2 linked regions of the Canis lupus familiaris genome follow. The protein of the gene in region 2 interacts with the protein of the main gene of each other region in a biochemical or structural test. Links are inferred from orthologs where the notes say so. Each region holds a gene or a part of one and is shown on either strand. Other genes may lie near its edges.

The links.
Region 1: the proteins of RAB11A (region 2) and RAB11FIP4 form a complex in vitro, tested with the Homo sapiens proteins (2 studies listed by BioGRID, with this or other methods). The link is inferred for Canis lupus familiaris from reciprocal best matches to the Homo sapiens genes RAB11A and RAB11FIP4.

Annotation. Positions count from the first base shown.
Region 1 is NC_049230.1:41,314,108-41,317,923, reverse strand, and holds part of RAB11FIP4 (rab11 family-interacting protein 4), read left to right. Parts: intron 1-248; coding exon 249-365; 3' UTR 366-3,816. UniProt on the Homo sapiens protein: Acts as a regulator of endocytic traffic by participating in membrane delivery. Required for the abscission step in cytokinesis, possibly by acting as an 'address tag' delivering recycling endosome membranes to the cleavage furrow during late cytokinesis.
Region 2 is NC_049251.1:30,631,247-30,635,062, forward strand, and holds part of RAB11A (ras-related protein Rab-11A), read left to right. Parts: intron 1-79; coding exon 80-275; intron 276-510; coding exon 511-704; intron 705-1,621; coding exon 1,622-1,702; intron 1,703-3,816. UniProt on the Homo sapiens protein: The small GTPases Rab are key regulators of intracellular membrane trafficking, from the formation of transport vesicles to their fusion with membranes.

The sequences.
Region 1 (3,816 bases), on a different chromosome or scaffold from region 2:
TCAGCCTGTACCAAGTAATTGCTCACGCTTGGGTCACTCCACAGACCAATTCTGATCCCTGGGGGTGGGGCGTGGGCATCTGCAGAGGCCACACCTTTGGTGTGTATTCTTACTGCTTTTGCTTGTTTCTGGCCCCTGAGTGCTGAGGCTGGCCTTGGGGCTGCCTTGCCCAGAGTCTCCTTAGCCCCTCTGTCGTGGGGTACTGGGTCGCTGCTGAGTCTCTGACCTGCCTCTCCTGTTCCCTCCAGCTCATGGAAGCCCTAAAGGAACAGGAGGAGATCAACTTCCGGCTGAGGCAGTACATGGACAAGATTATCCTGGCCATCCTGGACCACAACCCCTCCATCCTTGAGATCAAACACTGAGATAAGGGCTGGCTGCGGCACGGCCTCAGGGACCCTCAGACCCCCAGACCTGCCTGAGGATGCGGCCCCAGCCGGGCCTCACACACACACCGGAAATGTATCTCTGGCCACCCTGTCCTGTGTGCCGGTGTGTATGCGGGGAAGCCGTGCACACAGCAAGGGCTGAACGTGGGGCCGTGGCCGTGGAGGACCTCTGTGCGGTCGCTATCCGTGCATTCTGTGGTTCCTGCGCAAGGACAGACAGTACTGGTGGTGGGAAGGACAGGGTCTGCTATCAGGAGCTGCTGTGATCACGAGAACTGGAAGATTGTGTTTCAGATACTGGATAAAAATGATTCTACCTCTGGGGATAAGGATTAAATCACACGCTAGTGAGACAGGCTCTTTCACCCCACCGCTGTTCCCTCTGGGAGTGGGAGCAGATTGATGATTTTTTCTAGGAGCTGGAATGCCCAACAGCTGCATCCTCCCCAACCTCTTCGGCCACCTCTGAAGCCTAGGTGCTCAGGCTCTGAAAGGAGGAAGGGGCCCTCCCAGAGCCCCTCCCAGGCTGGCAGCCCCCCGTGATGCTTGTGCTCTGTGTGTCCAAAGGACTCGGGCCTACAGAGGAGCTGGCGTGGGGCGACCTTCGTTCTAAGGGTTCTTGGCATTTTGAGAGTTCCCCATACACTTCCCCATCCCTACTTCACCTACCTCTTTCTGTTTGATTTTTAAGACCGTGAAAAATAAGCAGCACTTCACTTGGGTGTACGATGAAGGGATTAAAAGGAAGGAGACAGGCTGGGGGCCAAGGGTGTCTCAAGCAGCACGTATTGGCATTGGGCATCCAAAGACTTGCTTTTCAGGGAGGAGCGTGCTCCCATCCCTGTTCCGTCTCCTTCCCTCTGGCTGCATTTTCCCAGGAGCCCGCAGGTACTGGTGGGCTGGGAGTGGGCCCTGCTTTCCAACTCCCGTTCTCCACGTGGCCTGGGGACAGCAGGCCTCAGCCTAGGATTTTTGGATTCTGAGCTCTGGGCTTGGCTCAGCTGGATAGCAAGGTCCCCGCGTTCCAGCACCGTTCAAAAACACTCTTGCATTCCGATCTCTGCCAGGAGAGGGGTGCTGGCGAGAGACACAGTTGGGGTCAGACATTTTAGGGAAACCTTAGTCTTCCATCCTCCTGACATGTGCTGGAAAGGCACACTCTGGATTTTTAATGTGATCTTTTGTTCTAGGCAGCTGGGAGTAGATATGGTACTTTGAGTTTTACTTTGAGTTTGTCTCAGTTGTATATGGCTTGTCGTTCATTTCTTTAGTCCAAACATGTATGAACTACGTGTAGATAAATATGAATGGTCTTATATCTCCCCCCCACCCCCGCTGCAGTTTCGTGTTGTCTTCAGCAACTCTAGTGTAAAAAGGAAGGTTTAGGCATGTTGGGGAGGGGCATGGAAGGGTGTGCACAGAGAAGAGAGGACAGGAGAGGGTGAGAAGGGGCTTGGGGTCTTGGGTATGTATGTACCCTGTTCACAAAGGTAGGGATTGGCCAGGACCGATCTTCGTTCCATTCCACTCAACCTCTGCTTTTGTTGGCTTGTGTGATTTCTGCTTAAGCATATGTTTGGGATTTGTTCCATGCTACAGATAATGGGGCTGCCTTGGTCTGATCCAGGACTTTGGGGCCACCTACCCCAGGAAGACTAGGGCAAGGGATCAGTCTTCTAAGAGTCTCTCAAGCCCCTAGGATGCTGGTCCCCTTGGGCTCTTCCAGGGGTCTGAGGAGCAGCAGTAGAAAGAAGGCCAAGAGGAGTGGATTTCTTGAGAATATGCTAATAGTAGAGAATGGTACCGAATTGAAGGGAAAGAAGGACCTATCATGACTTGGCTTTGGTCTGGATTTTACTTTGGAAGGAGTCCTACAGAGGCCAGCCAGATCAAGGTCCTCAAGGTCCATGGGGGACTCGCCCCAGGGGTGAACATTTTATACATAAAACTTTATATGTCCTTTAGCTGCACTGGTATGGAATTCCAGAGAAGGTCCCAGAGGCCTGGGTTACACAGTCCCTATGTGGGAGGGAGTTTCTGCTTTGTTGCGGAAAAGGTGGGCTGACAATGTTTTGCTGCCTCCTTCCTGAAGGGGGCACCACAGGACCAGCCTCCCCCAGGAAGCCGGCATCTGAACCGCCCCAAGGGGACCTGGTGCTGTGCATGGGATCTCTGGAAGACCGCCGACTTTAAAATGAGGCCTGGGTTACATGGACTTTGTCTCAAGTTAAATCCAACTTTCTGGAGCCAAAATCATCTTCTAAAACCTAGGCTAACTGGCTTTTAAAGTGTCTTTAGCTGCCCTTCCATGCAGGAAAACAAGCCCCAACGGAGGCACATGGCCCCAGGGCCCCAGCCCCATGGCCCCAGCGCCCCAGCCCCATGGCCCCAGCAGGGGTTCCAGAGCGCCCTAACTGGGGGCAGGTGGGGCCGACCCCTCCCCCCCCCAGTGCTTCCCCCTCCTCTGCATGTTGTCCACGTGAAAGTTCTGCACTTGCCCCTCGGCCCGGGAGCCGCTGGGTTGGACACACGACGCCCAGCTCCCTGTGCATTCCGGCAAACGGAAGCCAACTCCCAGTAGAAGTTACGTTCCACGCAATGCTTGGGACACGCTCAAAATGGGGAGATTTTAAAATTCTGCCACCTGGGCCAAATCCCCAGAGGTTCTGATGCCAGTGGTGTGGGGGTGCGGCCCAGGTATTTGGAAAGGTTAAAGAGCTTCCCAGGTGATTATAATTTAACTGGGTGCCTGGGTAGGGGGGATGCGCTTTGTGTTTTGTTTTTGCTGAACCTGGCAACTCTACCAAGTAGGGATTCGTAGTGACTCTTCCGAGGTTTAGGGGGGTTTCGGGGGCACAGGAAGGGGGGTTCTGCAACAGACCCAATGTCTTACACAGCACTCGGCCATCCTTACATCCAACTGGAAGGCAGAGAAAATTTGCAGAATCAGTGAGTGAGCTTTGGTCAAGTCAGACAAATTATTTTTTGAGTTTTTCCCTTGTCAGAGGGAGATTGCTTTATTTTGACTTTATTTCTGACTTACTGCAAACCTCTTACAGAGCCCAAGAACCTCCCAAAGCACTTGGACCTGAAACAGTGGTTTTCAGCTTGGGCTGTGCATCGGGATAACCTGGGGAGGCTTGGGAACTGTGCTGACTGGGCCGAACCGCTGGCTGCCCGGCCCCAAGATTCCAATTTAATCAATGTGGGGGTAGCCCAGGCATCCAGATGTTCAGAGAGCTCCCCGGGTCATGCTGATGTGTAGCCCAAGGTTGAGACTGGAAGGTTGCTAGTCAGGGGTAGAGGAAATGGGTGGAACTGCCTGTCTGATTTGTAACCGAGGTTCTACCTTAACGGTGGGGTGTCAGTGGCTTTGAAGGGTAGTGAGAAGTGGGTGGATCCCTCACCCCGGATGGGAGGCCAGGTG
Region 2 (3,816 bases):
TTTTGCTTTGTAGCGTGGTAGTATTCTGAACGATGTCTGCCCCATTCATCTGACATTAAATTCTTTGTCTTTTTTTCAGTTGTCCTTATTGGAGATTCTGGTGTTGGAAAGAGTAATCTCTTGTCTCGATTTACTCGAAATGAGTTTAATCTCGAAAGTAAGAGCACCATTGGAGTAGAGTTTGCAACAAGAAGCATCCAGGTTGATGGGAAAACAATAAAGGCACAGATATGGGACACGGCAGGGCAGGAGCGATACCGAGCTATAACATCAGCGTAAGTCTCATAGTTTTTAAATTCTGAGAAATAGACTGCCATCAACTGAATTAGCTAACTTTTGGTATTGGAAAAGGAACTTTTTTTTTCCTCTTAAGAAGTCCAGTATTAGGATTTTGAAATGTATTTATAAATGTGTTTTTAAAAATATATAATCTATATATTTAGTTCTTCTCAGTATTCCCTTCCATCTTACCATTGTTTTCTGACATTAAATACCTGTTTCTGTTTTCAGATATTATCGTGGAGCTGTAGGTGCCTTACTGGTTTATGACATTGCTAAGCATCTCACATATGAAAATGTAGAACGATGGCTGAAAGAACTGAGAGATCATGCTGATAGTAACATTGTTATCATGCTTGTGGGCAATAAGAGTGATTTGCGTCATCTCAGGGCAGTTCCTACAGATGAAGCAAGAGCTTTTGCAGGTTAGTGATATGAATTTCATGATATTACAGTGATTCTGTATTTTTAACTCTTATGTCTTACAGTTTTGATACTTTTCCAATGACCGTAATCGCTTACAGTAGTTTTAAAAAGGTAGACATGAATACTCAGCAAGGATTGTTCGGAAAGTTTGTGATGACTTTCTTGCTTAATTTTGAGTCATTAAAACATAGTATTTTGAGTTTTTGCTGCCAAGAGTTGAATATAAATCTTTCTTTCATTTCCTTGGAAGGGGTAGATGATATCTCTCAGTTTATTTTGTGCTTCCTGTCTCTTTCTCTGTTATGTCAGTATTTTACCAAGGCTGCTCTATGTGGGTCTGAAAGACAGTGGCCCAGGGAATGTCAACAACCAACTTTTTTGATTTAATAGAGGGTCTGCCTATAACTTCTGTTTGGAATAGCCTACTAGAAGGCAGCATTCTTGGCTAGTGAAAGTTGTGACTGTCTACTAGTGATTATGCTGTGAATAAAGGTTTTTACAATAGTTTTTTAGTTTTCCAGGCAAGACGCTTTATTTCAAATAATATAGTTAAAGAATTCTAAGCGGATAACACCTACTCATCCATGTTCATATCATAATTCTGTTGTTGATGGAGAAGGACAGTAATGGATGGAAATAACTGAGTATTTGATAAGTTTACTACATTTTGAATAACGTCATTCATTGGTAGTGTATAGATGTAACAAGTATTTTTTAATTAAGGAGGCAATGAAAATCTTTCACTGTTCTTTTTAATATGCTGAAGTGTAAATAGAATGATGCCCTTATTGCTCAAGAAATTGAGGAGGACTTAGGTTATTTTCCTTTTGAAGGCTAGAATGTATTATATCTCTTTCATAAAATTTGACAAGACTGAAGTTTTTATTTCCCTCCCCCCCCCCCCCCCCCCCCCCAGAAAAGAATGGTTTGTCATTCATTGAGACTTCCGCTCTAGACTCTACAAATGTAGAAGCTGCTTTTCAGACAATTCTGACAGGTAAGACTTGAATTTTTAGATTATGCTAGTGGGAATTGGAAGTTTGAAGAATGTAATTTAAACAAATTAGGAAACCTATATATCACACTGAGAATAACTATCATTTGAGAGCTGCTATAGCAAGAGCTGTTTAAAGTACAAAATTAGTTAACAATTCTTCCTTGCTGAGCTTTAATTATCCTAGTTTATTTGGTTTGTAATTAGGAAAAGTACTTTGAAAATAATTTGTTTACTTATATTATTGCTTCAGTCCAGTTATTCCATACTTTATGGTCACAAGTACAAAGTAATGGTTAAAGGCATTTTCATAAGATACTGAAATCCTGACTATGGGAAGATAGAAATGTCCTTTGAGATTTAGCAAAGAAAAGGCTTGCTTTGTTCTGATACATTATAGAAGCAGCTAGGGGAAAACCTATTTTTAAGAATTTAAATGAAAAAACAAAAAGTAAAACTCTCTTGTGATGTAAAAGAAGCAAGGTGTCATCTCTGGAGAAAATCTGTGAGTGATTGCATATGGAAAAGTTTAAATAGGGGATGCCTGGGTGGCTTAGTGGTTGAGGCCGTCCCTCATCGGGCTCTCTGCCTGCTTCTCCCTCTGCCTCTCTCTTTGTGTCTCTCATGAATAAATAAATAAAATCTTAAAAAAAAAAAAAGTTTAAATAAGTAGTGGAAAAAGAACAAAGTTCATGCTGTTTTAAAATTAGATGTGCAGATCAGGTCAATCTTGGATTTCAAGGCTGTATTCATGTTGACTCATATTTACTCTGACTTTATTTGAATGACCAACTTGTCAGCAAGTTTAATCTTAATTCTCTAGTAAGTAGTTTGATGGGTTGTATTAAAGTAGTTTAAAATTATTTTTAAGAACTCCTATTGTAAAGTGTAGGCTTACTATATACCATAGTCTGATACGACTTTCGAACAGGTCTGTATGGAGAAATGGTTAATAAGTTTCCAATTTTATTTATTTATTTATTTATTTAAAAGATTTTATTTATTCATGAGAGAGGCAGACACATAGGCAGAATGAGAAGCAGGCCCCTTGGGGAGAGCCCGATATGGGACTCAATCTTGGGACTCCAGGATCGCACCCTGAGCCCAAGGCTGATGCTCAACCACTGAGCTACCCAAGTGTCCCGTTTCCAATTTTAATATAACAAAATTTTAATGTATTCTTTGTATGTAGTACTTGCATTAGAGGTTAACAGATTTTAACTTTTATTTTTATTTAAAAATTTTTAAAATTTATTTATTTTTGTAGAGAGAGCAAGTACAAAGTAAGGGGGGCAGAGGGAGAAGGAGAGAATCTTAAGCAGTCTCCCAAGGAGTCAGATATTTAACCAGCTGAGCACAAAGGTGCCCTGATTTTTTTATTTTTAATTTTCCCAAGTTTTTATTTAAATTCCAGTTAGTTAACATACAATGTAATAGTAGTTTCAGGTGTAGAATTTAGTGATCTACAAATTTTAACTTTTAAACATCATAGTTCAGACTTGAAATATGTAGAGAATAAAGCCTAGAATTTAAGAGCATGGTCCTGGAACCCTGATTTGTGTTTTAGTCCTGGCTCCTTCAGTTACCATTGGCTCTGTAATCTTAAGCAAATTACCTAACTTTTCTAGGTCTTAAATTCTTTATCTGTAAAATTTAAATATGTTAAATTAAAATCAACATTAAATTAAAAATAAATAGTTTTGTGCTTTTTTAAGAGGGCTTATATTTATAAATACCTTGTGGTATGATTTGACTTAACTGTTATGTTGTGACTCAAAGGTTTTTATCTCTGTAACTCACAGAAAAGAGTTGCCTGTTATTTGAGACATCTACTCTAGACTCCAAAAATGAATTCATGAGTTCATACACGTAAAAAATGCTTAACTTATACCTAGTACAGAGTGGACATTTGATGAATTAGTAGTTAAATAGCAGTTAAAACATGAAAAAAAATTAAAATAGTGATGATTCACATACAGTAGGTATAATGATAGTTGATTAGAATTATTTTCTGTTAGGAGAAAAATAGTAACTATAATAGAACTGGTGCTGAGGTTGGATTAAATAGTCTCTTGGAACACAGTAGCTTTCCCTTAGAATCTTCTGTTCAGATAAAA